Saccharomyces cerevisiae S288C: one gene and its partners. The gene in region 1 interacts genetically with each later gene. Each region holds a gene or a part of one and is shown on either strand. Other genes may lie near its edges.

Region 1 (5,968 bases):
TCATCATAGTAACAGCAATACTGCTATTACACCCGCGCCTACTCCCACTGCTTCAAATATTAATAATGTAAATAAGATAACCAATACAAGTGCACCTATTTGTGGGAGGTTTCTTGTGCATAAAGATGGTACCCATGAACATCACTTAAAAAATGCTAAGAGACAAGAAAAGCTAAGCACAATGATTAAAAACATGGTTGGTGCGAGCAAATTACGTGGTGAGGCAAAATCTGCTGTCCCTGATATAATAATGGATCCAAAGACGACTTTAAAATCCAACAAGAATCCTCCTACTCTTTTTGCAGGCTTCATGAAGCAGGTCGTGGATATGGATGATAAATATCCAGAAGGCGCTCCCACAAGTGGCGCTTTAAATTGTCCTGAAAGGGATATATACAGGTCAGATCAAAAAGATTCCAAAAATAATACGCATAATATCACTACTACTAAAAAAGATAGGCAATGTTTTGCCGAAAAGTATGGTCGCTGTCAAGAAGTCCTTGGTAAAGGTGCTTTTGGTGTAGTAAGAATATGTCAAAAGAAAAATGTTTCTTCTCAAGATGGTAATAAAAGTGAAAAGCTTTATGCAGTGAAAGAGTTCAAGCGTAGAACATCCGAATCAGCAGAAAAGTATTCTAAGAGGTTGACTTCTGAATTTTGCATTTCTTCTTCATTACACCATACAAATATTGTTACTACACTAGATCTTTTCCAAGATGCCAAAGGCGAGTACTGTGAAGTAATGGAATATTGTGCAGGTGGCGATCTATTCACTTTGGTCGTTGCCGCCGGAAAATTAGAATATATGGAAGCAGATTGTTTCTTCAAGCAGCTTATTAGAGGTGTTGTTTATATGCATGAAATGGGTGTTTGTCATAGAGATTTGAAGCCTGAGAACTTACTGCTTACGCACGATGGTGTGCTAAAAATTACAGACTTTGGTAACAGCGAATGTTTCAAGATGGCATGGGAAAAAAATATTCACCTTAGTGGAGGCGTTTGCGGTTCATCGCCGTACATCGCCCCAGAGGAATATATCAAAGAAGAGTTTGATCCAAGACCCGTAGATATATGGGCATGTGGTGTCATTTATATGGCAATGAGAACTGGTAGACAATTGTGGAGTTCTGCTGAAAAAGACGATCCATTTTATATGAATTATTTAAAAGGACGTAAGGAAAAGGGAGGCTATGAGCCAATCGAAAGTTTAAAAAGAGCCAGGTGTAGGAATGTTATATATTCGATGTTAGATCCCGTTCCGTACAGAAGAATTAACGGGAAACAAATTTTGAACAGTGAATGGGGAAGGGAGATAAAATGCTGCCATAATGGGCGCGCATTGAAATAAACGAGTACTTCACTTTCAAATATCACGATATTTTGGAACAATTCGGTATTTTTTACTTAATCTAGTACACTAAGGAATGCTTTGTTATCCGGCATTCGTATCTTATTCCTCGCTTCTATTGTTCTACTTTTATATCCCGTTTGGCTGATTACGGATCACGTTCAAATTGGTAAATCCCATTAATTAAAAAAGAATTGTAACCTTATTTAAAAAAAAAAATAGTACATAACAATAAAAAAAAAAAAGATAATAATTTTGAATTTATTGCTAGACATTCTTACGTTTATTGTGTTCATGTTAACAAAAACACATGCCCGCGGTTATTATCGCTTTTTAATTGCTTTCTTAAAAAGAGTCGGTTGGTCAGATAGAGCAGATAGTAAATTATAGTGCTATTTAGGTCTGTTAATTTAAATGAAAGAAACATAAATGACCGTAAAAAACTAAAGGCAAAAGCATTAATTTATTTTATCCCGAGCGCACAAATATCTAGGCTTGTCATTTGTCCTAATAGTTCTTCGATTTTAGTGTCTAATAACCCATTGGCATAGTCGTCTCTTGATTGTTGGTCCAAATATTGTTGAATCTGCGCTAAACGAGTGTAACCATCAGTACAGAACCTTAGCTGAATCTTGATTAAAGCTTCAAAACTTGGGTCAAAGTAAGGTACTCTTAATGAAACTAACTGTGGTAGTTCAGTTTTCAATTGGTTATTAAGATTTTCGAAAATATCTTTAGCTAAGCTCAATTCTTTTTCAGCCCTTGGCAGTTTAGAGGCATCTTTAGCAGGTTTGTCCACTAATCTACGAACTTTTGCCTTCGCAGCATCGAAGTCTTGTTTCTTATGGTCTCTCTTTTTTATGGCCTCCTCAATTTCTTTGAAATACGTCGAAAACTTTGTTATTGGATCTAGTACGGTTTCTCTTAAGGGCCCGTCTAATTGCTTAACAGTTTCGCTATCAAAATCTTGAACACATTGCAAATAATAGTTACCAACGTTGTAACCACCACCAGCAACATATTTTGAATCGTCATAGAGGTTAGAGATGACCTCGGCAATGGTAGTCTGTGATGCTGTCACAGCTCTCAATGAGTCCAAGAAACCTTTGGCTTCCTTTTGTAATGCCTCACCTGCTCTTTGAAGAACTTTATAACGACGTTCTTCCATGTCATACTCTTTATCAATGGTCTTGTCGACATTCTTAATTATCACACTGTGACCAGCTCTGTTGATAGCTTTCTTAAAACCTTCCCAACTCATCTTGTATCAGCTTTCTTCTGGCTTCTTATAATAGGATTTGTATAGTTTTCTATATCACAGCGTTTCCTTTTCTTCTCTCACGTCTGCCTGTTATTAAATTTGTTTTCCCTTTCTTTTAATTCGGATTCTCATAATTGTTCAAAATCCGCGCATTTGGATCGTCCAGCCCCTGCAGCGCCCAGTTCAGCCAACAAAAATTCATAGGGACGTAAAGGAAACGTTTCATGTCTGTTACAATGAAAAAGACAAGTCGAATCACATTATGAATGGCAAACGATAGACCTTTCGTTGCCTTTCAATTACATGATATTCGTGGCAACATCTTCTCCGCTAACCTAAAAGTTTTATCAGAAACATATATCTTATTTTTTCTGAAGTAAAATCAAAGTGCAGGGAAGACAAGTAAAGGAGTCAGCAAAAAAGTGAAGTAAACTTATATGTTAACTGTTTATAACCGTACCTTGCTTACATCATCTATATTTTCGTAATCATTTTTGTACATTGTTTATATCTTGTTTTGAAGTTTTAGCTTTGAAAAACATTTAATTGCGAAGTAACATAATGTTATTAATAGTGTACGACTGAAACAGCCATTCTATTTAAACATATAAAAGTACGATTAGTTGGTGTGGTTATATAAGTCATAAAATAATTATCATATTAAAAAATTGAAAAATAAAAAACTACTCTTTTTTATTTCAATAGTTCTCGTTATTAGTAGGTCGTGCTCTTAAAAGATTACCCTTTCAGTAGATGGTAATGGGAATGGACGAGCCAGTACATATGAATTCTGCTTTGTAGCAACACCTGCATATGCGTTGTACCAAGCAATGAAAGCAACAACAACTCCCAGGACACCACCAGCTCTTGTGACACCAAGTCTATTAGCAAAGTGACCAATAGACAACAGTAGGAAAGTTAATGCTAGTAAGAAGAACAACAAAAAGAACATAACAGTGGATTTCATGGTACAAACGGTTAAACCAAACGTAAAGATGGCCCACCCCAACAAATAAAATCCTAAAGCATTATTCAAATCAGATTCATTGTCTTCGTAAGCTTCCAAGATACCAAACCAAGGAATGTAAATTGCAGCGAAACTCAACCAAAACCCACCGTAAGAACATAATGCGGTACCACCAAAAGTATTTTCCAAAGCTATCTCCCAAATACCAGCAATCAATTGCACCAAACCACCATAAAACATAGCACAACCGACGACAACATTAGGAACAGTGATCCCTTGCGCTCTCGCATTGAACATGGACAGCACAAATGTCGTCAACGCGAAGGCTGAAAGACCTAAGGGCGCAGGATTAGCAAATTTGTGCACTGGAGCAGGAGCTAACCCTGGATTCAAGGTACCACCAAAGGCTTGGTATAAGTCGCTCTTCAAAAACTTTTGACGCCCAATATAGATATATTCATTGTTATCACCTCCAGTGTAAATCTTGCCCAACGAATCATGAGATGGACGTTCATCTTCTGCAACGCCATTAACGTCGTTATCATGGGAACTATAGTATCCTGCTGGTGCATTCTCCAAATCTGTGTTTCCGCTCGTTTGTTCCTTGTCAGACATATTATTTGTTTGTATATGAGTTGTTTTGTGGTTGTTTAGTTATATCTGTGTTAGCTGTCGACTATTTGCCTTTTTCTTATAAACAGATGCTAGTAGTTTCTGTTGTATTGTTATTGCTATTGGACGATATATAAAATGAACCTATAGCAAGATCTCAGGGAAATACGATCCAACCAAGGTGCTTTATATACAGCTTGGTGTCTCTGACAGGTTGGAGTACAGAGGAGAAGGCGCCATAGCCGCCCAACCCGCGATAACGAAAAAAAGCTGTAAGAAAATGCAGTCTTCCCCAACGTTTGTTACCCCAACAATACCGAAATAGCCGCCCAACCGCAAATCTGGCAAAAAATCTTTTCGTATCTCGCTGCAGATGACCTTCCAACCCGCCCCTTTTTGTAGTCACGCCTTTAAGGGCCCTTGTTTGGCTTGCTCACATGGGGCTACACGTAAAAACCGTAGCTTGGAGAACCACTCAGCCGCTCGCCTATTCCACGGAGCTCCGGATCAACGGGCAGTGGACCCTCTCGAAAATAAGGAAAGTTGCGGGGCCAAAAATTATTATTTCTTATGTAAAAGAAGAGACTATATACGACGCCTATCTACTTTTGTTCCACAACTATCCACTTAAGGGCTAGATACCCCATTATTAAAAACACCACATTAAACAGAGCCAGGATCTTGATGTCAAATACAAGGTTTTGGACAACAAATCCAAATGTGCTCAAGATAGTAGCGCCTGGAACTTCAATATTTAAGCCGTACTTTCTCTCTTTCAGCATCAATGTTTTGACCTCATTGATCAATAAAGATTCGTAGGCGTAGTAAAACACAGAGAAGTTTTTCAGGTACTTGAAGGCCACGTTTGTAATATTCTTAGTATTGATAAATAGTCCGCTAAACAGTAGTGAGCCCAAAAGCACCAGCACGCTTAATATTATGGAGTTATTCAAGTCTTCAAAAATTATGCCGATGGTTAGGATTTCCAACGATATCCCAAGGTTAAACAGTATAAGGATTCCAATACATTTAAAAAAAGCATTGTCTTTCATGTTTAAACCAGTCATTGGGTAAACAATCAATGACAAGAGTATAGGTGGTACAACACGTAGCGGGACCACTTCGCTCATTATCTTACTAATGTAGTATGCAAGTGGCGAGTAATAGTTATTGGATCTTTCTTTTATGAAAATGATCCTTTCCAGAGCGAACGAGCTGAGACCTGTGAATGTAACAAAACCGAAGTACGTTAGTATAAAGAAGAACAGCCCCATTCTGTTCTGAAAACCGCTGATATCATTGGAGACGTTGTAATATAGTGTTCCCAAGAATAAACTCAATAGGATCGTCAGTAAATAATTACCCAATAATAGTTTAGGGTTTCTGTACATGTTTTTAAAACTTCTTGAATTCAATATCGATAACTGTTGCAGAAAACCAGCAGATTGTTGACCTGTGGGTAAATCTCCATTCAAAACGTTACTTTCCTCATCACCTTCGCTTAAAACTTCCTCGATCTCCTGTGAAAGCTCTGCATAATAGACGCTATCTTTATATTTATCGTGTAGTAGTTTGGTATTTAAGTCAATCTCAGTAGCACCTCGCCTTCCATCTGTTCCCTCTACATCTTCTTCATCTCTGAGTAAAGATCTGATCTCATCTCTATGAGCTGCAAGATGAGCCCACTCTCTCTGTGTTGTACCATCACTGCTAGTAAATGTTGTTTGGTGTATCGTATTATCAATATCGTTAGTATCCGTACCAGCTTCTAAATCGGAAA
Region 2 (4,869 bases), on another chromosome or scaffold:
TTGGAGTAGTGGAACTTTCATCACTTTCTTCGTCTGATTCACTATCACTTCTGTCATCCTTGAGAATACCTCTCCATAGAATCCTGTAAAGAACTCTAAAAATAAGGAACAGCCAATAAAGATTCACTAATTGCAAAGCGCCTATCAATACAAAGACAATTGGTAAGGAAATCCAACATTTATATTGCTGAGTGGCAAAATTCAAGACATAGTTACCTTCCGTGCGAAATTGCGTTAAAACGGACCATAGGATCTTTAAATTTATGTAATGACGCAAATAAATCCACGCAACAACAAAGATAGCAAAAGAAAAAAAAGCCAATCCAGAGTCCAAATAATTTAGAGTTTTGGAGAATGACAAAAGAAAATCAGAAACATCCATTGTGATATAGATTGGCAGTCCCATTTTAGTGAAATGAAATACGTAGGAAGACCAAATCAATAGTAAAGTAACAATATGATGGAAAGTCAACTCGTTATGATCTTTTCTTGGCTTTTCTAGTTGCAATACAAGAATGCAGGCTTGTTGAGCCCAAAATGCAGCTTGACCCAAATAGAATACCTTGAATAAGAAGGGATTAGTGAAATCTGGATATGTTCTGTACATTGCCTTTGTGTTGAAAAACCATAAATCCGAATGGTACATACAATATATCCCGAAAGGACCGGAAACACCGGTGTAGAAAATAGCGTACATTTGTTCCATGATTCTTTTTATTCTGTGCTTAGAAGTGACGTGTAACCTAATAGCGAACGGTCTAATGACAACATCCATTAGGAATTCACGTAAGAATGTGAAAAAAATCATATAGTAAAATACAAAGCACAAATCGTTAATACCTTTACCATATGCGTTGGTATCACCTATTTGGTATGACACAGCGACAAATCTATGTAACACATTTGTCTTTGTAGTGTTACCAGAAGTGAAATAGGCACTATATACCGCGATTAAAATCATCAAGGGAGCTATCCAGGCATGACGGTAACTTATCTCTCGGAATGAAAACCAGATTTTCTTGACCAGGTCGCTATCATTTTTGGTGGCTTCAGATAATCTCTGCATACGCCTTTTAGCAGCCGTTTTAGATTCTTTTGTCTCGAACATAGTACCTAAACTAGGTACAGTGTCCCCGAGGTCGATCTTACCTATGGAAGACTTGCGTCTTGGTCTTGACCTCACTTTCAAATTGTTGTTTGAAGGGCTTGGCTTTATTGTCGACATAGCTCTTGTTTATTGATACTGTGTCTATCTAAATGTTTACCGGAGGTATGAATAATAAAAACAATAGCGATCAACCGACAAAAATATCTGTATGGAACAGAAAAACGGTAACGAACAAGAAACTGTAGTTTTAACTTAAATCAGGTCCGGATTATAAAGCCGATGTAGCAGAAAAACGGGTTCACGGAATACAATAGCCAAATAACAATAAATAAATAAATAAATAAATAAGAAAAAAAAAAAGCAAGTAAATAAAACAAAACGGGATGCAACAAGCCAAGGAGGGAAACAATAGAAAAATAACTTAAAAATCTTTGTCTAGATTCCAATACTTTCTCCCTCCTCCCACGTTATTTGTCTAGCATGATCAGGTACAATGCCCACCGATATGAGAAAAAAGAGTGAAAAAAAAAAAATGACGAAAATGGTTCCGCGGATCTAGCAACTTTGTTGGAATGACCGGAAAAGACAGTTGTTTCCTTTCCAACTATTTTTCATTCCTGGTCTTTTTCCTGTTGAAGCCCAGCATTTTTTTTTTCGCGTCGCGTTTTTTCACAACAGTTCGGATCACGTGATAATCACTGCACGTGACTATCATGTGATACGATAGCCGGGTTATGATCCCCTTTTTCTTCCTATTGGAATACTGATTTTACAGTGGCTAGTACTGGATTTGAGTATAGGAAGGTGTTAGCAACTGTAAGGTACTATTCAGACCGTTAATCCAACGGATCATAAGAGCGACAGAAAATGTCTAGTAGTAAATTCGAAGAGGTCATCAACAAGATCATCAATGACAGCCCTCCAGGAGAATTAAGGGAAGTATACGACGATCTAATCAAGATCACAAGTGAAAACTCCAAAAATACTATTTTGGATGCTATTGAGAATTACAACGTGCAGAATTGCATCCCTATAGAAGTCAACGGGAACTCTGTAATTATTTCCAAATACAACAAGGAAGGAGCAAAGTTTTTTGATCCCGTAAATTCCGTAATATTTTCAGTTAACCATTTAGAGCGCAAGGGCCTTGACATTGAACCATATGAGTTCACGCATGCAAAGATAGAGAAAGGGCAATTGAAAGAACTGCACGATAAATTGCACGAATATCTTCTTCAGAGCTTTCCAGGTGATGTCAGTTTTGCTGTTTACCCAGTCCCTGAGGAAATAAGTAAAATTTCTATTATTATTGTTAGCACCAAATATAATCCAAACAATTTCTGGAACGGCCATTGGAGATCAAGCTACATCTACGATTTGGAGACCAGGGAGTTATCCGGTCAAATCTCTACGCAAGTCCACTATTACGAAGACGGTAACGTTAGTTTCCAATCTGGGAAGGATATCAATCAATCTAACGTTGATGACGTTGTTTGCACAATAAGGGATATTGAGACGAATTTCGAAAATGATCTAGATCTTTCATTTTTCGACTTGAACGAAAAACAGTTTAAGGCCTTAAGAAGAAGATTACCAGTCACGAGATCCAAAATTAACTGGGGTAGTGCGATTGGCAGTTATAGATTGGGTAAGAATGCGGCAGAAGGCAAATGAAATTTCATGCCTGCCTTATTCCATTCTCTTCCTATTTCTTAAATTGAATACATCTATGTACATTATTTATTTTTGGCTTGATTGGCTCACTAAAATAACTTAAACAGGGTATATAGAATGAAGAATATTAATAACGCCAAACCCACCATTCTCCATATGCTATTACCAGCCTTTAATGATCGGGTTAACCTTGAGGACGAATTTTTGATATCGGTAAACATCGATCCCAATGAATCTGTCATTTGGTTTATGACAGAACTGTCAGAGACCGCTCGGTCTCCAATCTCTTGGTTTATGTTTCTGAATGTAGCTAATTTATTGGCTAACCCCTCTAGTTTCCTATCATTCTGTTTAAAGTACATGTACATGAAGGGATGATACATCTGCTCATCCGGTGTACAGAAGCAATAGTTAGTAGCTTATAACATCCATATAGCAAGCTAGGTCCCATTCTAAACACCTATGCGTGTTGCCGGTGATTTACATACGTTTGATTCGGTCTGAGAATACCTAGAATTTGACATCGCTATGATGATTATATATTACCTTTCTACCGTTCTCTCCTTGTTGAGTTCTTCCAGTATCCTTCTTAATGATATACCTTATATTATTTCCTCTTTTTTTTTCTGCATGTAGCAATGCGCGGCTTCTTGCAATAACAAGAAAACTAGAGTAGCTAATTTACTGCATGAACCGTACATTCAGCAACAAGAAACATAAGATACTTACCGCACAATATTCATTGGTCAGTTACCGTACACACGAAGATCCTTTCTGAGTAGCGTAGTTTAAGGGAGCACACATTTTTAAATTCTAAACATTGCCTCAAGATGTTCTCCCATATACAAGGAAGGAATATTGAGCAACATGGTTAATCTGCCAGTTGCAACAACGCAAGTGTTATTAGAAATATTGTTCAAGGAAAATATCAGATAAAAAATTTTTCGCACTTCGCTAATCACCCATATAGAACATGGCGGTGTTCCAAGTGATTAGCCCTAGATCGCAAATTATATCATCATTCAGTTACCTTTCTCATTGAATCTTCTTGATAAGAACTACTGGTACCTCAAATAGGAACGAAATATGATACCACTGTATCATACTATCATTCTCAACACATTTGTTATATATTTTATGTTTCTACTGAACCTTTTGTCAGTCATCTCACTAGCAGCTGCGATTAACAGTCATCGGATATTTAAAATTGAAGCTTTTAAAATTGAAGCTTTTAAAATCAAACATGAATACACATTGGAGTTCACTGAAGAAATTAGGTTTAAATAAAAAAATCCAGCATTAGTTGTGAAGTAAAAAAAGACAAAACCAGCAAATTCTTGCCAGAATGTAACTATACTCTGAGTAAAATAATTGACAGCGCAAATACACCCATACACTATTTTTACATCTTGACATCACATACATAATATGTGTGAAATATCAAATTTTGAGTGTCCGTTATCAATTTTTTTTCGATTTTGCATTTTATGAAGCTTCAAACAGGTGTCGGCCTAACTTTCCGCCCGGAAAAGAGCGGTTTACGAGAGATTGCTGCTTGCAGCTGCGTGCATTTTTCCATAATCGGGTTTCCCTTCAGCGCGCAGTGTTTCCATTCTCAGCCCAATTGGCAACGGAGAGAGCGTAGAGCTTTCAGTGGACTGCCCTTCGTACTCGTCGAGTACTATTGAACTGAAAAAAAAGTAATCTAAGGTTAAGTTGATCAGGTCTGCCGATTGTATAACAAATTTAATTGTTTGTCTTAGTGAACAAAGAGAGTCGTGAAAAATAAAATAAACAATGTCCACCGATTCTATTGTCAAGGCTTCTAACTGGAGATTAGTCGAAGTTGGCCGTGTGGTTTTGATCAAGAAGGGTCAATCCGCAGGTAAATTGGCCGCTATCGTCGAAATTATTGACCAAAAGAAGGTATGTTAAATCCGGAAAACCTATCATCGATTTGAGGAGGGAAATGAACGAGGAATGAGATTTAGGCTACGAAAAAGTGCTGGCAAATATCCAATCCGTTACCATGGATGAAGCTACTTGTAAACGATAAGTAAATGTGAAAATACACATTGCGATAGAGA
Region 3 (8,604 bases), on another chromosome or scaffold:
CTTCTTTCTAGAGAATCAAAAGAAGTTGGAGAAAGGATTTAAAGACATCAATAAGTATGTTGAAGATGTTTCCGCAATGAAAGAAGTCTTCAAAGAGGTAGTTGGTATTATGACTGGGGAGAGAATAAGATTTATAGACCATACTGGGGAAAATGTTACTCCTCAGGAAGCTGCTCGTGTTGGAAATCCATCAACAAGTACGCAAGCTCATCAAAGTCAGTCAAGATCAACAAACTGGCAAGAATATAGTATGCACGCAAGCATATTAGCCGGCGATCCTCGTATCAAGCCTGAGCCAGGGCTGTCAGACTTTGAAAATGGGGAATACGATGGTAATGAAAGTGATGAGAACGCTACCACCAGGAACCTACCTTTAAATAACCCCGATTCTGTTAGCAATGCTGATGACAGTAATAACCAACTCGATGGAACAGGAAACGAGAATGATATCAGAAACAGAAGAGGGTGCGTTGGAACGTCATATAAACTAAATCGTGCAATCCAGAACGTTACAGATGCGGCCCGTGAATACTTTGAAGGCTTACCGGGCCAACCGTCAGTTCTTTCCCTTGAGAGGAGATATGGGTCCACTTGGAGGCGATCTGCCAAAGAAAGGACTTTGTTCACTAAAAGAATGACCATCATAAAAAGAATAATAGATATAAAAGATGATCCAAGCAAATATGGTTTGTCGCTACCTGAGAATAAAATAAGTAGAAACCAAGCCATCAAGGTTGTCGAAAATATAAGATTGGGAAACAATACCTTCAAAGGACATCATTGCCGATTATCAATGTCCCAGTTATACGAATACTTCTCCAAAAAAATGGACAAACTCGAAGACTATTCACTTACTCTAAAGAGAAGAGGGAAGCCAAGAAGAATTTTCTTGTTAGAAGAGAGAGAAGCTAGATTATCATTACAGCAGCCACATAGTATACCAAATTCCAGTACAGGCACACCAGAACATGATCAAGACACTTAGAGGAAATGGAACAACGAATTTCCAGCCAAAAATTCCGAGTAGTTCATGATGAAAGATTTTTACATGCATTTTATATATAAATATATACCGTCCTATATGGATTTCATGCCAACAGGGTATATAATAGACAATTACCGGTGTACTGATATATCAACTATCGACTCCAAGCCTTTTATCTATCAGTCAATTTTACATCAAGATCCCACTTTTAGATAGGTTCGAAAATTCAATCTAATATTAGTGATTTAATTAGATGGTGGATTGCTTACCCTTTTTTTTGTCGTTTTAGGAGGAGATTCTTCGGATTTTAGGGATAAACGGATACTCCATATATAAAAAACAAAACTTCAGGCATATTGATTATCTAAAAGGAATATTCTAAAACCATAGCCATAGTAATTTATCACCAACATGTCAAACGACGGCTCAAAAATATTGAATTATACCCCAGTGTCTAAAATAGATGAAATAGTTGAAATCTCAAGAAATTTCTTCTTTGAGAAACAATTGAAATTGTCCCACGAAAATAACCCAAGGAAAAAAGATCTAGAATTCAGGCAGTTGCAGTTGAAAAAACTCTATTATGCCGTCAAAGATCATGAGGAAGAACTGATCGATGCTATGTACAAGGACTTTCATCGGAACAAAATTGAATCGGTTCTGAATGAAACGACCAAACTTATGAACGATATACTTCACCTAATTGAGATTTTACCAAAATTGATCAAACCTCGGAGAGTATCTGATTCTTCTCCTCCATTTATGTTTGGTAAAACAATCGTGGAGAAAATATCAAGGGGCAGTGTCTTGATTATTGCTCCTTTCAATTTTCCCCTACTTTTAGCATTTGCCCCATTGGCAGCAGCTCTTGCTGCAGGTAACACCATTGTTCTGAAGCCAAGTGAACTAACACCACACACTGCTGTAGTTATGGAAAATTTGTTAACCACAGCTGGTTTCCCTGATGGATTGATTCAAGTAGTTCAGGGAGCTATAGATGAAACTACAAGACTACTAGATTGTGGAAAATTTGACCTAATATTCTACACAGGTTCTCCCCGTGTCGGATCAATAGTTGCTGAGAAAGCAGCAAAAAGTCTAACACCTTGTGTACTTGAACTTGGTGGTAAATCACCTACCTTTATTACAGAAAATTTCAAAGCAAGTAACATAAAAATTGCTTTGAAAAGGATTTTTTTTGGTGCTTTCGGAAATTCTGGCCAGATTTGTGTTTCACCAGATTATTTGTTAGTACATAAATCTATCTATCCAAAAGTCATTAAAGAGTGTGAATCAGTACTAAATGAATTTTATCCAAGCTTTGATGAACAAACAGATTTCACTCGTATGATTCATGAGCCTGCTTACAAAAAGGCCGTTGCAAGTATAAACTCAACTAACGGCTCCAAGATTGTGCCTTCAAAAATTTCTATCAATTCAGATACTGAGGATCTATGCCTTGTACCACCAACCATAGTTTATAACATTGGTTGGGATGATCCTTTGATGAAACAGGAAAACTTTGCTCCTGTATTGCCCATCATTGAGTACGAGGATCTTGATGAGACCATTAACAAGATAATAGAAGAACATGACACTCCATTGGTGCAATACATATTCTCTGATAGCCAAACTGAAATAAATCGTATCTTGACGCGCTTAAGATCTGGTGACTGTGTTGTCGGTGATACAGTGATTCATGTAGGAATTACCGACGCTCCATTTGGAGGGATCGGTACTTCAGGTTATGGTAACTATGGTGGATATTATGGATTCAATACCTTTAGTCATGAAAGAACAATTTTTAAACAACCATATTGGAATGATTTTACCCTTTTTATGAGATACCCTCCAAATAGCGCACAAAAGGAAAAGCTCGTCCGTTTTGCGATGGAAAGAAAACCTTGGTTTGACAGAAATGGCAATAACAAGTGGGGGTTACGCCAATATTTTTCATTATCTGCCGCCGTTATTTTAATTAGTACCATTTACGCTCATTGTTCTTCCTGAACGTAATGTTTAAGGTTAATTAATTATTTGATGTATAAGTAACCTTTCGTTTAAAAATTTCATATGGGCGATAATATATCAATATTTATTAATTACAATTTACTCTATTTGCTCGTATAGAGTATATACTCGCTAAATACATTTTGATTACCAATCATCTTCCTCTTCATCTTCGTTAGCCTCCTCGTCATCACTCTCTAATCTCATTTTATTGGCCCTAGCAGCAAGCGCATTCGCCAAACCATCACCCAAACTTGCTTGGGCTGCAGCTGGAATAACGTTTGCAGAGGTGTTATCATGTTGTACAGAATTCAGAACGGGTTTAGGAACATCCCTGTTTTGAGGAGGAGTAGGGATATTATTATTTCCGGAATGTGGTTTCATGTAAGCTGTTGGCACCCAACCTTCCTTAGAGCCATCCAGAAGTTTCCCGAGAGACCAACCGCTTGGTTCTTCTCTTGTAATGTAAATTACGTCTCCTTTCTTTAAAGGTAACTCAGATGGTGATCCTGAACCAGGAAAATCGTAAGCCGCTTCAAACATGGGTTCTTTTGGCTTTGAAGAGGGTGGGGGTGGAGGAGGTGGTGGAGGGATATTTGCCTGTCTACCAGAGCCCATTGCGGCAGCAGCGGGTGTAGCAGCGGGTGTAGCACGAGTGGCAGCAGTAGGGGGAGAAGGACGGGCATTACTTTGGGATGCAGTGAGAGTGGAAGCAGGATTAGGAACAGATCTTCTTGTAGCAGCTTTGTTCTGCATTCCTGGTGGTGGAGGGGCAGGCTTTTTAGAATGCCTAGAAGCCGGGGCGGTGGGAACATGCTGGGCTGCAGCAATCGAAACTGGCCTCCTCGTTGCTTGCGAGGAACTAGCATGATATCCTGAAGAGATTGAACTCTTTTTTCTCGGTTTTTTGTGCACTTGAGAATTAGGTGGGTTACCACGACGAACTGATATTGTACTGGATTTATATATGTCGCCATATTTTGGTGCAGATTCATTGATTTGACATTTCACTGAATGCAACTTTCCAGGTTTCTTTTGGTACTCTATCGCCGAGCCTATTTTAATTTGAATTTTGTCGTTAAGCCTTTTCAGATGCGTTATGAGTTCTGTTTTGAAATATGTGTTGATTAAGGGGTCAGGTTGACCTGAGCTAGCCAACTTAATGGCGACCCAATCATCCTGTAAATTGGTTAAACTAACCGCTTGAATGTTTCGCACATCGATTTTATAATCCTGAGTATAGGTCATAGCATTTTGGACCAAAGTCTGACCAACAATGTACAATGTAGTTGGAGTTAATAGGAAAGTTTTTTTCAATCTTTGTGCAGAACGGCCAAATTTTGTATGCAAGGCCTCACCATGTATGGAAAAGATGACCTTCTCTTTAATGCTCACTTGTCTTTTGATATAAGCGCCCTTCGATTTGGACTCGTTGCATGATAGATAATCACCCATGAAGGCTCTGTAACCTAATAAGGACATAGACCTTCTTTCTTTTCTTCCACCCAAAACCTTCGTACCATAATCCCGGAGCTTCTCATACTTATTACCTTCCTTCCTCTCCCTGATGGTGCGCTGGATCTTAGTGGCCGCATCAATTCTTCTTTGCAAAAATCTCCTCCAAGCACGTTGGATTCTGGCAGCCATATTGTGCCAGTATCTATCTCTCATATGCTCCAAAGCAAATAATGTTTCAGGTGTTTTGATGAAAACACTTGTGACACCCAATTGGTACTCCTGCTGTGGGATAGAGGAATCTTGCAATATATACTTAACAGCATCTAAGGTATCACCTTGCCATGTATAGTCACCAGCGTAAGAACAGTGTGGAGATAATAAATAAAATCTTTCCACGAACTTCTCAAACACTTGTCTATATGCAAAACCTGCTCTTCTGATACGCACGTTTTCTTGCAGACCTAGATACTTAATCTGGTGTAGAACTTGCCGATCGTCATAATCGTTAGGAGATTTGGTTTCGTTTGGTTTAATTGTTCTGATATATGAAGGTTGTGCTTTTGATAAAGTTTCAACCAAATCATTTGCACTCTTTATAATTTTGTCGCCTGCTGTAGGTGGCCTTCTTTTTGATTCTCTGTCTACAGTATCCGGGAAAATGGTGGCTAAAAATGTATTGGTAGTGGTACCAATTAATTCTACCAGATCCTTTTGTAATTGATCCTTATTTTTATCTGTAATACCGTCAATATCGTATGTGACATCACCGGCATAATGCTTAATAACAAACTTGTTAGATCTCAAGTCAAAATGTGGATTTGTTGTGAACAAGTTCAAACGCTGAGCAAAAGCCTGATCAGCAGCATTTGAATCCGCGTGTGCAGTTGCAACAGAATCATTCATTGCTGCAAATATACCAGGTGGTCTTCTTGCCTCAATCAAATCACACACAACCTTGTTATCAAAGTATTTAATTGGGGTCCATTGGATTTTTTCTCTCTCGTAAGTTTCTTGCTCAGATTTCAATGTCAATTGAATAAAGATTTGTTGTAACTTTTCATTAACATAATTGATACAAATCTGCTCAAAAGAGTTATGTTCAAAAATTTCAAAGCCGTAAATATCAAGAATACCAATGGATTTTTCAGCGCCTGGAAAAGCCTGCAGAGATTTGTTAACCCTACTCACAATCCAGTCAAATAAGTTATTGTAAATAGCCTTTGCCAAAGCATCTCTAACCGCATCTGCTTGGACAATATTCAATGGAACATGATACACTGACCCTCTTTTCATACCATGATTGGTTTCCATAATTCTTTCCACAAGTGATTTAATCAGCAATTGGCTATCTATTTGTAACAAGTAAGCAACAAAATCGGTTACTGAGGTGTCCCTAACTTGCGCATTCCCCTCCTCATTTTCTATAAAGGAAACATTACCAATCCAAAGAATTGCAGCTAACATCCTGAAAATTTGGTCTTGTTCTTCTTGACCGAGACCAATAACTCTCATAGCTTTTAATGTCTCTTGATAATCTTGCAAATCATCAATTGTCTCAGCAGATATGCAACCCGCAGCAGCTGTGTACACATATTGTTCCGGTTTTTGGACCCCAAATGTTTGCCTATAAGCATCGGAAGCACCTTTCGTGAACTGATAGAATATATGGAAATTTCTTTCATTCTTAATTTGACTCACAACTCTCTGCTTCTCCAATAAATAGTTTGTGATATTACCAGCACATGGTTCAAACTGGTTATTGAATTTTATTTCTAGATATTTCCCATGTCTAGAAGAGTTGTTATTTCTTAGAGTCTTTGCACAGCCAAAAGATTCCAACAATGGATTAGTGGCTAAAACCATGTCTTTAATCTTTCCAATTGACTCCGTATGTGTGCTAGAAGCAGCCGCAATATATTGCATAATTCTTTTAGCTGCTTCAGTTTTACCGGCACCTGATTCACCTGAAATAATAACACACTGATTTTCATTATATGATTTCATGTTGTAGTACATAGACTCTGCAATTGCAAATACATGGGGTGGAACTTCCAATCTATTCTTACCTTTGTATTCATTCATAACAGCATCAGTATAGATTCCGAGGTCTCGGAATGGATTGACACTAATTAACACATGACCTATATAAGTGTAGATTGTAGCATTCAAAAATCTCTTCTTCAAGTTTTCATTTATGGCTTCGTCGGAGATTTTAGAAAGAAGCGTCAGATCAGACACACCAACTTCTTTCTTCTTCGAGGAATCAAAAGTAGCTTTCTTGATATTCGCAGAGCGTTTAGCTGGCTCCTGATGTACCTTTTTTCTAGCTCCTCTTTTTAAGATAGCCATTTCTATAAAGCGGTTAAATTCGTATTGGCCACTGTTCTTATGCTTTATTATAAACTATAACCTTTAAATACATAGTCCAGTTTGTATTTTCCAAGCTTGCAATTTTTGACGGCCCCTTTTCGAGAAATATTTTTGATGATTGACAAAACGAGAAAGAAGTCGTGTCCGACGAGTTAAAACACACCATTTGAATACATATGCTACGTATCCACTTTAGATTTATCAAATACTACCAACTCACTTGAATTGAACTTATTATTCATCTATGACTTAATTTTAGCCGTCATTAGTTTTTTAGAAAAAAATATATAAAGTATATACGAAAAAAATATACATGACTACCGATTTGGTAGAATGTCATATATAAGAAGCACGATTAAATAATAATAAAGTCTGCATTTTTTACTGAAAATGCTTTTGAAATAAATGTTTTTGAAATTCAGTGCTTACCGCCTGTACGCTTATGACGTAATTCAGTCTGTTGTCTTTCAACTTCTGGGTCAAAATTTATGAACTCGTCTAGACCGCTACCACCTGCCACCATTGGCAAAACAGGAACTTTTTTATCAACTTCCACTTCAAGCAAAACTGGGCCCTTGGTAGAAACGAATTCTTTCAACTTAGCGTCCAATTCCTCTTGCTTCTTGACTCTTAAACCTTTTAAACCCATAGCCTCCGCTAGTTTTATGAAATCAGGGTTCAATTGATGTGTGTGGGAATAACGATGTTCGTAGAACAGGGATTGCCATTGAGTAACCATACCTTGCTCTTCATTGTTCAAAATCAAAATCTTCACTGGAGTACCAGCTTGAACGGCAGAACTCAATTCCGTTAGAGTCATGTTAAAGGATGCGTCACCATCAATGTCAATAACCAAAGATTCTGGCTTTGCAACTTGAGCACCGATGGCGGCAGGGAGACCGTAACCCATCGTACCTAAACCACCTGATGTGATGAAAGTATGTGGATTTCTCCATGTCCAGTGTTGAGCAGCCCACATTTGATGTTGCCCCACACCCGTTGTAACAATGACATGTCTTCCTGTGTCGTTGGCAACCTTGGATAGTTTCTTTATAACCGTCTGTGGTTTAATTTTAGATCCTGGAGTCTCCTCCATATAAGCGTATGGGTATTCCTTCTTCCATTTATTTATTTGAGCAAACCATTCAGACCTCTCCTTAACTGGGAAAATCTTTGACATCATTTTGCCCAGATTGGTCGTAGCATCACCTTCCACTGCTATTTGAGTTTGAACAACCTTGTTTATGTTTTTTGGACTAACCTCGAAATGAATAATACCACCTCTACCCTCGGCAGCTGCACGACGAGCTTCTGGAGCGAATTTAGAAATATTACCAGTGACACGGTCGTCGAATCTAGCACCAACTGCAATTATCAAGTCGGCATTTTGCACTGCCAGGTTGGCAGTAGCACAACCGTGCATACCAAGCATATCCAATGATTTTGGATCTTCTTGGTCGAATGAACCTAAACCTTGTAAAGTAGTGGTGACAGGTATTTGAGCACGGTCACTTAATTCTTTTAGTAATCTTGGACCATCTGCATGGTTTAAAATACCAGCACCGACGTATAAGACAGGTTTCTTTGCCAAGTTGATCAAATCTGCTGCTTTATTGATACTTTGCATGACAAATTCATCTTGTGCGCGACTGGTTAATTGGTTTAGTGCGTTTGATGGAAGAGTTGTTTTTGTTGGAATTGGATTTCTTAAGATAGCTGCTGTAACATCCTTTGGTAAATCGACCAAGACTGGTCCCGGTCTACCGCTCGTGGCAATTTCA
Region 4 (5,927 bases), on another chromosome or scaffold:
TTCAGAATCTAACAAGTAATGATCTGGAGAATTTTGTACTAATAGCTTTATTATCGGAATATCCTTATTGGCATTATTCCTCAGTACCTGCAAAGCGGGCAATTCAACTTCCAACATTGGATCAAAACTAATTATCATATCTATATCATAGTTAGCCAATAGGTATTGATCGTGTTTGAGATGTTTGGTAGTGGCTAAAAACAGCCAGTCATCCGTATTTATTTTTCTTTTTTTCAGGTTTCTTTTCACTGAGTAATCATAGTCGTCCTTAGAATAACCTGTATAAGAGGTCGAATTGGAATTAGAGCTTGTGCTGCTTACAGAATTTGGTGTTCCATCTTTATTTATTGTGGAATCGACCGTAGGTAGATTAGGGAATTTGTGTTTCTCATTATAAAGAGATGTACCGGAAAGTCTCTTGGTTCTGAATTTCTTGCCTAATATTAAACCTTCTAGCAAATCTAATTCCTTTATGCTGTGTGCGATGATGGCACATTTTATAACTTCGTTTGGTGAGCCCTCTCTGTCTCTAAAGCATATCGAATTAATGAGCTGGTTGAGAACTTGAAACTTGTGGCTCCCAGCAATAGAGCTTTCCGTGGGCTCCATTCTCAAAAGCTGTCGAGGCATATAATGGTCCACTAGAAGGGAAGGATGATTGGCTATTGCTCTTATGTTTGAATCAAAGATATAGGTTAATTGCCTTTGTGATAGCGTTGGATACGGATGTGTTTCAGGGCCAGCAGGTAAGCCGGAAGGCTTGTTCACTGCATCTGCCTGTGGTTCTCCTATTATGCTTGCTTTGAATGACTTGGCGTGCAGGGATATCAAAATTTCTGATAAATCCTTTTGAAATTGGGTTAGCGTTACAGGTAAGTAATAGACTTTTAGTTTCTTAGAATTTTTCCTACTCATGTCGATAGTATTGTATCTATTTTCTTTATTTTTCACACACTAATGAAGCCAAATACTTTTACTACTACTTAAACGCCTTCAATCGTTCTCAATTCTGTCTTTTTAAAAAAAAAAATTTTTTGTTACCTCTCCTTTCTCGATGTTCTACTAGTTGTGGTTACTCTTCTGTGCCGCAATTATGTTATTTTAGTAGGACTGTATTTTTTTTTTTTCTTTTGTTGTCGCTTTTCTTATATATCTATATAACTATTTATTTGGGCTGTAGAGAACTTTCTCAGGAAATATAAACTAGGAGACATTCGTGTAAGCAATGAACCATATACGCCACGGTTAAATTTCAGACGTGCATAAAGTTGATGATTCCTGTCAAGTTAACGACTCATTTTGTACGGTAGACGGGAAAAATACATTTCCTACAATATTCTCTTTTCCGATATTCAGATACTAAAGGAAAAAGTGAAAGTAAGGCTATATGATGAAATGTAGAGGAAACGGAAAGAGGAGATCCTGTGAGGAATAAATAGAGAAACAGCGACGGAAAAATCGATATTTCAGGGCAAAAGCATGAAGGTAAACCATTCAATTTCAAGATTCCGCCCCGCTTCATGGTTCGAAAAGACAAAGATAATCCCACCCCAGGTATACATCTTTAGGAACCTAGAGTATGGACAAGTACTATATTCTCAATTTCCCAACTTTTCGCAAACACAGGTGGATAAGCTGTTTGTGAGACCAAACTGGAGCAACAGAAAGCCATCATTGAGAAGGGACATCTGGAAATGTATGTGTGTAGTGAACTTGCAAAACTATAAGCAGAGTGTCCATCTATACCAGAACCTCTGCCGGTTGAGATACCTCCGTGATGTGGCACAGCGTAAGGAGAGTGACAAGCTAAGAAAAAAGGACTCTAACGGGCACGTCTGGTATAGCGGACAGTATAGACCTACATATTGTCAAGAGGCAGTGGCAGACTTGCGGGAGTCCTTGTTGAAGGTGTTTGAGAATGCCACACCAGCAGAAAAGCAGACAGTACCCGCCAAAAAACCGTCCATATACTGGGAGGACCCATGGAGGATGGGTGACAAGGACAAACATTGGAATTACGATGTGTTCAATGCTCTGGGGCTGGAACACAAGCTTATTCAGCGTGTGGGGAACATTGCGAGGGAAGAAAGCGTTATTCTGAAGGAACTAGCTAAGCTCGAATCACATCCTACAGAGCAGACGGAAGTGTCTTCCCAGTAGAACGCTTCGTCATTAGATATACAAATGCAGGTAGAAAAAAAAACATATATAAGCTCATGTAAATAGTGCAATGCAAACCTTTCTGCCAAATCCCGTTCCACGGAAAAACACGTGCTGTGCGGGTATCCGCAAAAAGAAGATAGGTCAAAACAGGAATACACAGGGCTAGTCTTTATTACTGCCGCTGCTGCTGCTGCCGCTGCTACTGCTGCTGTTGTGTGACTTGAAACGCGTTTTATCCTCCTCACCTTATCGTCATTTCTCTATCTTTTTCACTTGCACAGCTTAATAAGCTTTTCGACCTCCTGTTTCCTATTGTCTTATTCCCTCACCCCGCGTCCTTCTTCGGGCAGTCGCGCTTTTCTCCGGCTTCTGCGGTTTTTCTTAGTCTTTCCGCACCAATTTTCACAGAAAAATTTCTTTTTGGGTTACTAAAAATTTCTTGTTTGCTATTGTCTTGATTTATTTCACTCTTTCTTCATCCTGCTGCGCTGTTGTTGCCGCATTTTTCGTTTCGTGTTTTGGGATTATAAAAGAAGTAACGATTTACATATCTTCTATTCCCTTGCATTTACTCCGGGTCTTCGTCTTTACTGTTTGGTCTGGGTATTTCTAACATTCTAGTCCGAAGAGGGTGTATACGAAAAGAAAATATACGATGAACGTAACATCGAATGCAACTGCAGCCGGTTCCTTTCCACTAGCATTTGGTCTCAAGACCTCATTTGGGTTTATGCACTATGCCAAGGCCCCTGCCATTAATTTACGCCCCAAGGAATCCTTGCTGCCGGAAATGAGTGATGGTGTGCTGGCCTTGGTTGCGCCGGTTGTTGCCTACTGGGCGTTGTCTGGTATATTCCATGTAATAGACACTTTCCATCTGGCTGAGAAGTACAGAATTCATCCGAGCGAAGAGGTTGCCAAGAGGAACAAGGCGTCGAGAATGCATGTTTTCCTTGAAGTGATTCTACAACATATCATACAGACCATTGTTGGCCTTATCTTTATGCACTTCGAGCCGATCTACATGACTGGGTTTGAAGAAAATGCCATGTGGAAGCTTCGTGCAGACCTTCCTCGGATTATTCCAGATGCCGCTATTTATTACGGCTATATGTACGGAATGTCCGCTTTGAAGATCTTTGCAGGCTTTTTATTCGTTGATACATGGCAATACTTTTTGCATAGATTGATGCATATGAATAAGACCTTATACAAATGGTTCCACTCTGTTCATCATGAACTATACGTGCCATATGCTTACGGTGCTCTTTTCAACAATCCTGTTGAGGGCTTCTTGTTAGATACTTTGGGAACCGGTATTGCCATGACGTTAACTCATTTGACTCACAGAGAGCAAATCATTCTTTTTACCTTTGCCACCATGAAGACTGTCGATGACCACTGTGGGTATGCTTTGCCACTTGACCCATTCCAATGGCTTTTCCCTAATAACGCTGTCTATCACGATATCCACCACCAGCAATTTGGTATCAAGACGAACTTTGCTCAACCATTTTTCACTTTCTGGGACAATTTGTTCCAAACTAACTTTAAAGGGTTTGAAGAATATCAAAAGAAGCAAAGACGTGTCACCATCGACAAGTACAAAGAGTTTTTGCAAGAGAGAGAATTGGAAAAGAAGGAGAAACTCAAAAACTTCAAAGCTATGAATGCTGCTGAAAATGAAGTAAAGAAAGAGAAATAACCCTTTTGCATACCTCCCGTTCAATTGCTGGGTAAAGGCAATGTCTCCGACTTCCCACGTTTGTATTTATTATCCATTTATATACATCAAGACATATTATTAAGTGTATAGGCGTGACTTTGACTATATATTTGATTTGTAACGAAAGAATACATCAAAATTCAACTATGAAATGGTTATTATTGTGCATGCACATCTTGAATTATCAAAAAGGTCTTAAATGTTCTTCGGACTTTCTTGAAATCTTCGAAAACTGATGAGAATTCTTCATTATTTTTTTTTTTCTTCTTTTATTATTTTTTATGTTTATTCCATATATACACTTATAATTTTTTTTTTTGCGATTAATATAAGTTTGCCTGGATACACGAACATATATATGATTAAAATGGTTGTCTCGAACAAAAAAATTCACTTTTTAGAGGGGTTTCTTATTTATTCGTATATGTACGTAATTTTGATGTTTAGGAAAAATTCACGGAAAAGAATATATATTTGAACAGAATCAAAAATTAGGAGGGAGGCAAAGAAAGTAACATCAAACGAGTTGAGCATATCCAACTATATTATTAACGTTAAATGCTGTCCTCTAAGACCTTATTCAGTTTTTGAATCTTTGTAGAAATGCTTAAGTCAACAGTCTTGTCACCAAGTTCTACAATCAAACCACCCTTAATCTCTGGCTTAACCACGTTTTCCAGCTTCAAAGATTTACCTTGCCCCACCAATTTGGAGGCGCTCAAAGCTTTTTCAATCCTCTTGAAAGATTTAGGATCCAATGGTTCAGCACTAGTCACTGTACCTTTAAGTAACCCGTTGTGAGCATCGTTTAAAACGCCAAAGTCAGACGCAATTTTTTCAAAACATCCCAGTCTGTTATTTTCGGAAAGAACCTTCAATAGGTTAACGACATAACCATCCAAATTCTTGTGAGTCTCCACGATGGCATCAATGACAGAATTTCTGTCCTTCAATGACAATGCAGGATTCAGTAATAAGTGACCTAATTTTGGATTCTTTTTGACTGTGCTTTCAACTTTTTGCAAAGATTGAAAGGCAGCATCAATAGAGGAGTTCTTTGCAGCGGCCTGATATAAAGCTGTTGCGTAAGTGCCCTCAACACCGAACAATCTCACCGGTGGGGGAGCAGCAGCTTTGGAAGCAGCAGCTCTTAAGCTTGATGCAAATGACCTGGTAAAGACTCTATTAAACATGATTGTCCACGGTTTAAAAATAATGCGGTAACTTGCTAATCGGTTCTTACTCTGCGGAAAAATATCTCAATGCCACAGTAGCCTGCTTAAATTTCCAAGTTGACTGAATTTTGTTTTCAATGAGATAAAAACTAGAAATACTGTACACAAAGTTAACAATTGGCGTTTGAAATTGTTCCTAGATAATTGAAAGTTTTACTATCTCGCCAAAAGATCACTTCATTATCTTTAATTCCTTGTTTTTCCCACCCGGGCCCGGGTAAATGATATTTCAAATATCAGCATCTTATTGGCCAGCACCGTCTCTCGAAAGTGTCCACTTTATGACGACGGCATAAAATATAACGATTTATTGGACGTAAGTAGTTTTATAAGTTACTAAACCAAGATTATTCCGGCAAAAAAATGAACTTTAAGAGATATCTGAGCGCTTCGTATTTCTTGGTAGTCCCTTATAATGTACTACATTTATGTAGACCAGGTTTGCAGCCAGATCTTACGGGAAAGAGATTTTACGGCTCCCAGTCCGAGCTTTTCCATATACTACTCTAATATACAATGCATTCTTAGATTTCTTAACTGCTGCATATGCTGTCTTTGGTCCTTTGCAAGCCTATTACTGCGGATTTAAGTTTTTTCCACTGATCGTTACCCGAATTTATGGGTTCTGAAAAATTAGAAGATGGAAAATTTTTCAATACGCGATGAGATGAGATAATTGTATATATGTAGTCGCATCTTGATAGGTATGCAGCGTACCATACATTGAGTAACAATAAGCACTGTTACCAATAAATATAGAGCAAAAAAAGATGGAAAAATCACTAGCGGATCAAATTTCCGAT

What was found.
Region 2: mutations in RVS161 (region 1) and CAP1 are lethal when combined (synthetic lethality), as found in Saccharomyces cerevisiae (5 studies listed by BioGRID, with this or other methods).
Region 3: mutations in RVS161 (region 1) and MYO5 together harm fitness more than expected from each alone (negative genetic interaction), as found in Saccharomyces cerevisiae (5 studies listed by BioGRID, with this or other methods).
Region 4: mutations in RVS161 (region 1) and SUR2 together harm fitness less than expected from each alone (positive genetic interaction), as found in Saccharomyces cerevisiae (5 studies listed by BioGRID, with this or other methods).

What each region holds. Positions count from the first base shown.
Region 1 is NC_001135.5:128,934-134,901, forward strand, and holds RVS161 (amphiphysin-like protein RVS161), read right to left. Parts: upstream 2,610-5,968; coding exon 1,812-2,609; downstream 1-1,811. Other genes in the region: serine/threonine protein kinase SAT4, read left to right, coding at 1-1,348; ADY2 (Ady2p), read right to left, coding at 3,340-4,191; putative ATP-dependent permease ADP1, read right to left, coding at 4,791-5,968. UniProt on the Saccharomyces cerevisiae protein: Component of a cytoskeletal structure that is required for the formation of endocytic vesicles at the plasma membrane level.
Region 2 is NC_001143.9:427,327-432,195, forward strand, and holds CAP1 (Cap1p), read left to right. Parts: upstream 1-1,975; coding exon 1,976-2,782; downstream 2,783-4,869. Other genes in the region: sphingosine N-acyltransferase LAC1, read right to left, coding at 1-1,225; SFT1 (Sft1p), read right to left, coding at 2,872-3,129, 3,271-3,306; 60S ribosomal protein eL14 RPL14A, read left to right, coding at 4,580-4,708. UniProt on the Saccharomyces cerevisiae protein: F-actin-capping proteins bind in a Ca(2+)-independent manner to the fast growing ends of actin filaments (barbed end) thereby blocking the exchange of subunits at these ends.
Region 3 is NC_001145.3:484,785-493,388, reverse strand, and holds MYO5 (myosin 5), read right to left. Parts: upstream 6,803-8,604; coding exon 3,143-6,802; downstream 1-3,142. Other genes in the region: EUC1 (Euc1p), read left to right, coding at 1-985; HFD1 (hexadecenal dehydrogenase), read left to right, coding at 1,397-2,995; ILV2 (acetolactate synthase catalytic subunit), read right to left, coding at 7,242-8,604. UniProt on the Saccharomyces cerevisiae protein: One of two redundant type-I myosins implicated in the organization of the actin cytoskeleton. Required for proper actin cytoskeleton polarization and for the internalization step in endocytosis.
Region 4 is NC_001136.10:1,053,733-1,059,659, forward strand, and holds SUR2 (sphingosine hydroxylase), read left to right. Parts: upstream 1-2,818; coding exon 2,819-3,868; downstream 3,869-5,927. Other genes in the region: HDA2 (Hda2p), read right to left, coding at 1-915; mitochondrial 54S ribosomal protein mL67 MHR1, read left to right, coding at 1,480-2,160; ATP5 (F1F0 ATP synthase subunit 5), read right to left, coding at 4,444-5,082; rRNA-processing protein BFR2, read left to right, coding at 5,895-5,927. UniProt on the Saccharomyces cerevisiae protein: Required for hydroxylation of C-4 in the sphingoid moiety of ceramide. Catalyzes the conversion of sphinganine to phytosphingosine in sphingolipid biosynthesis. Involved in the response to syringomycin.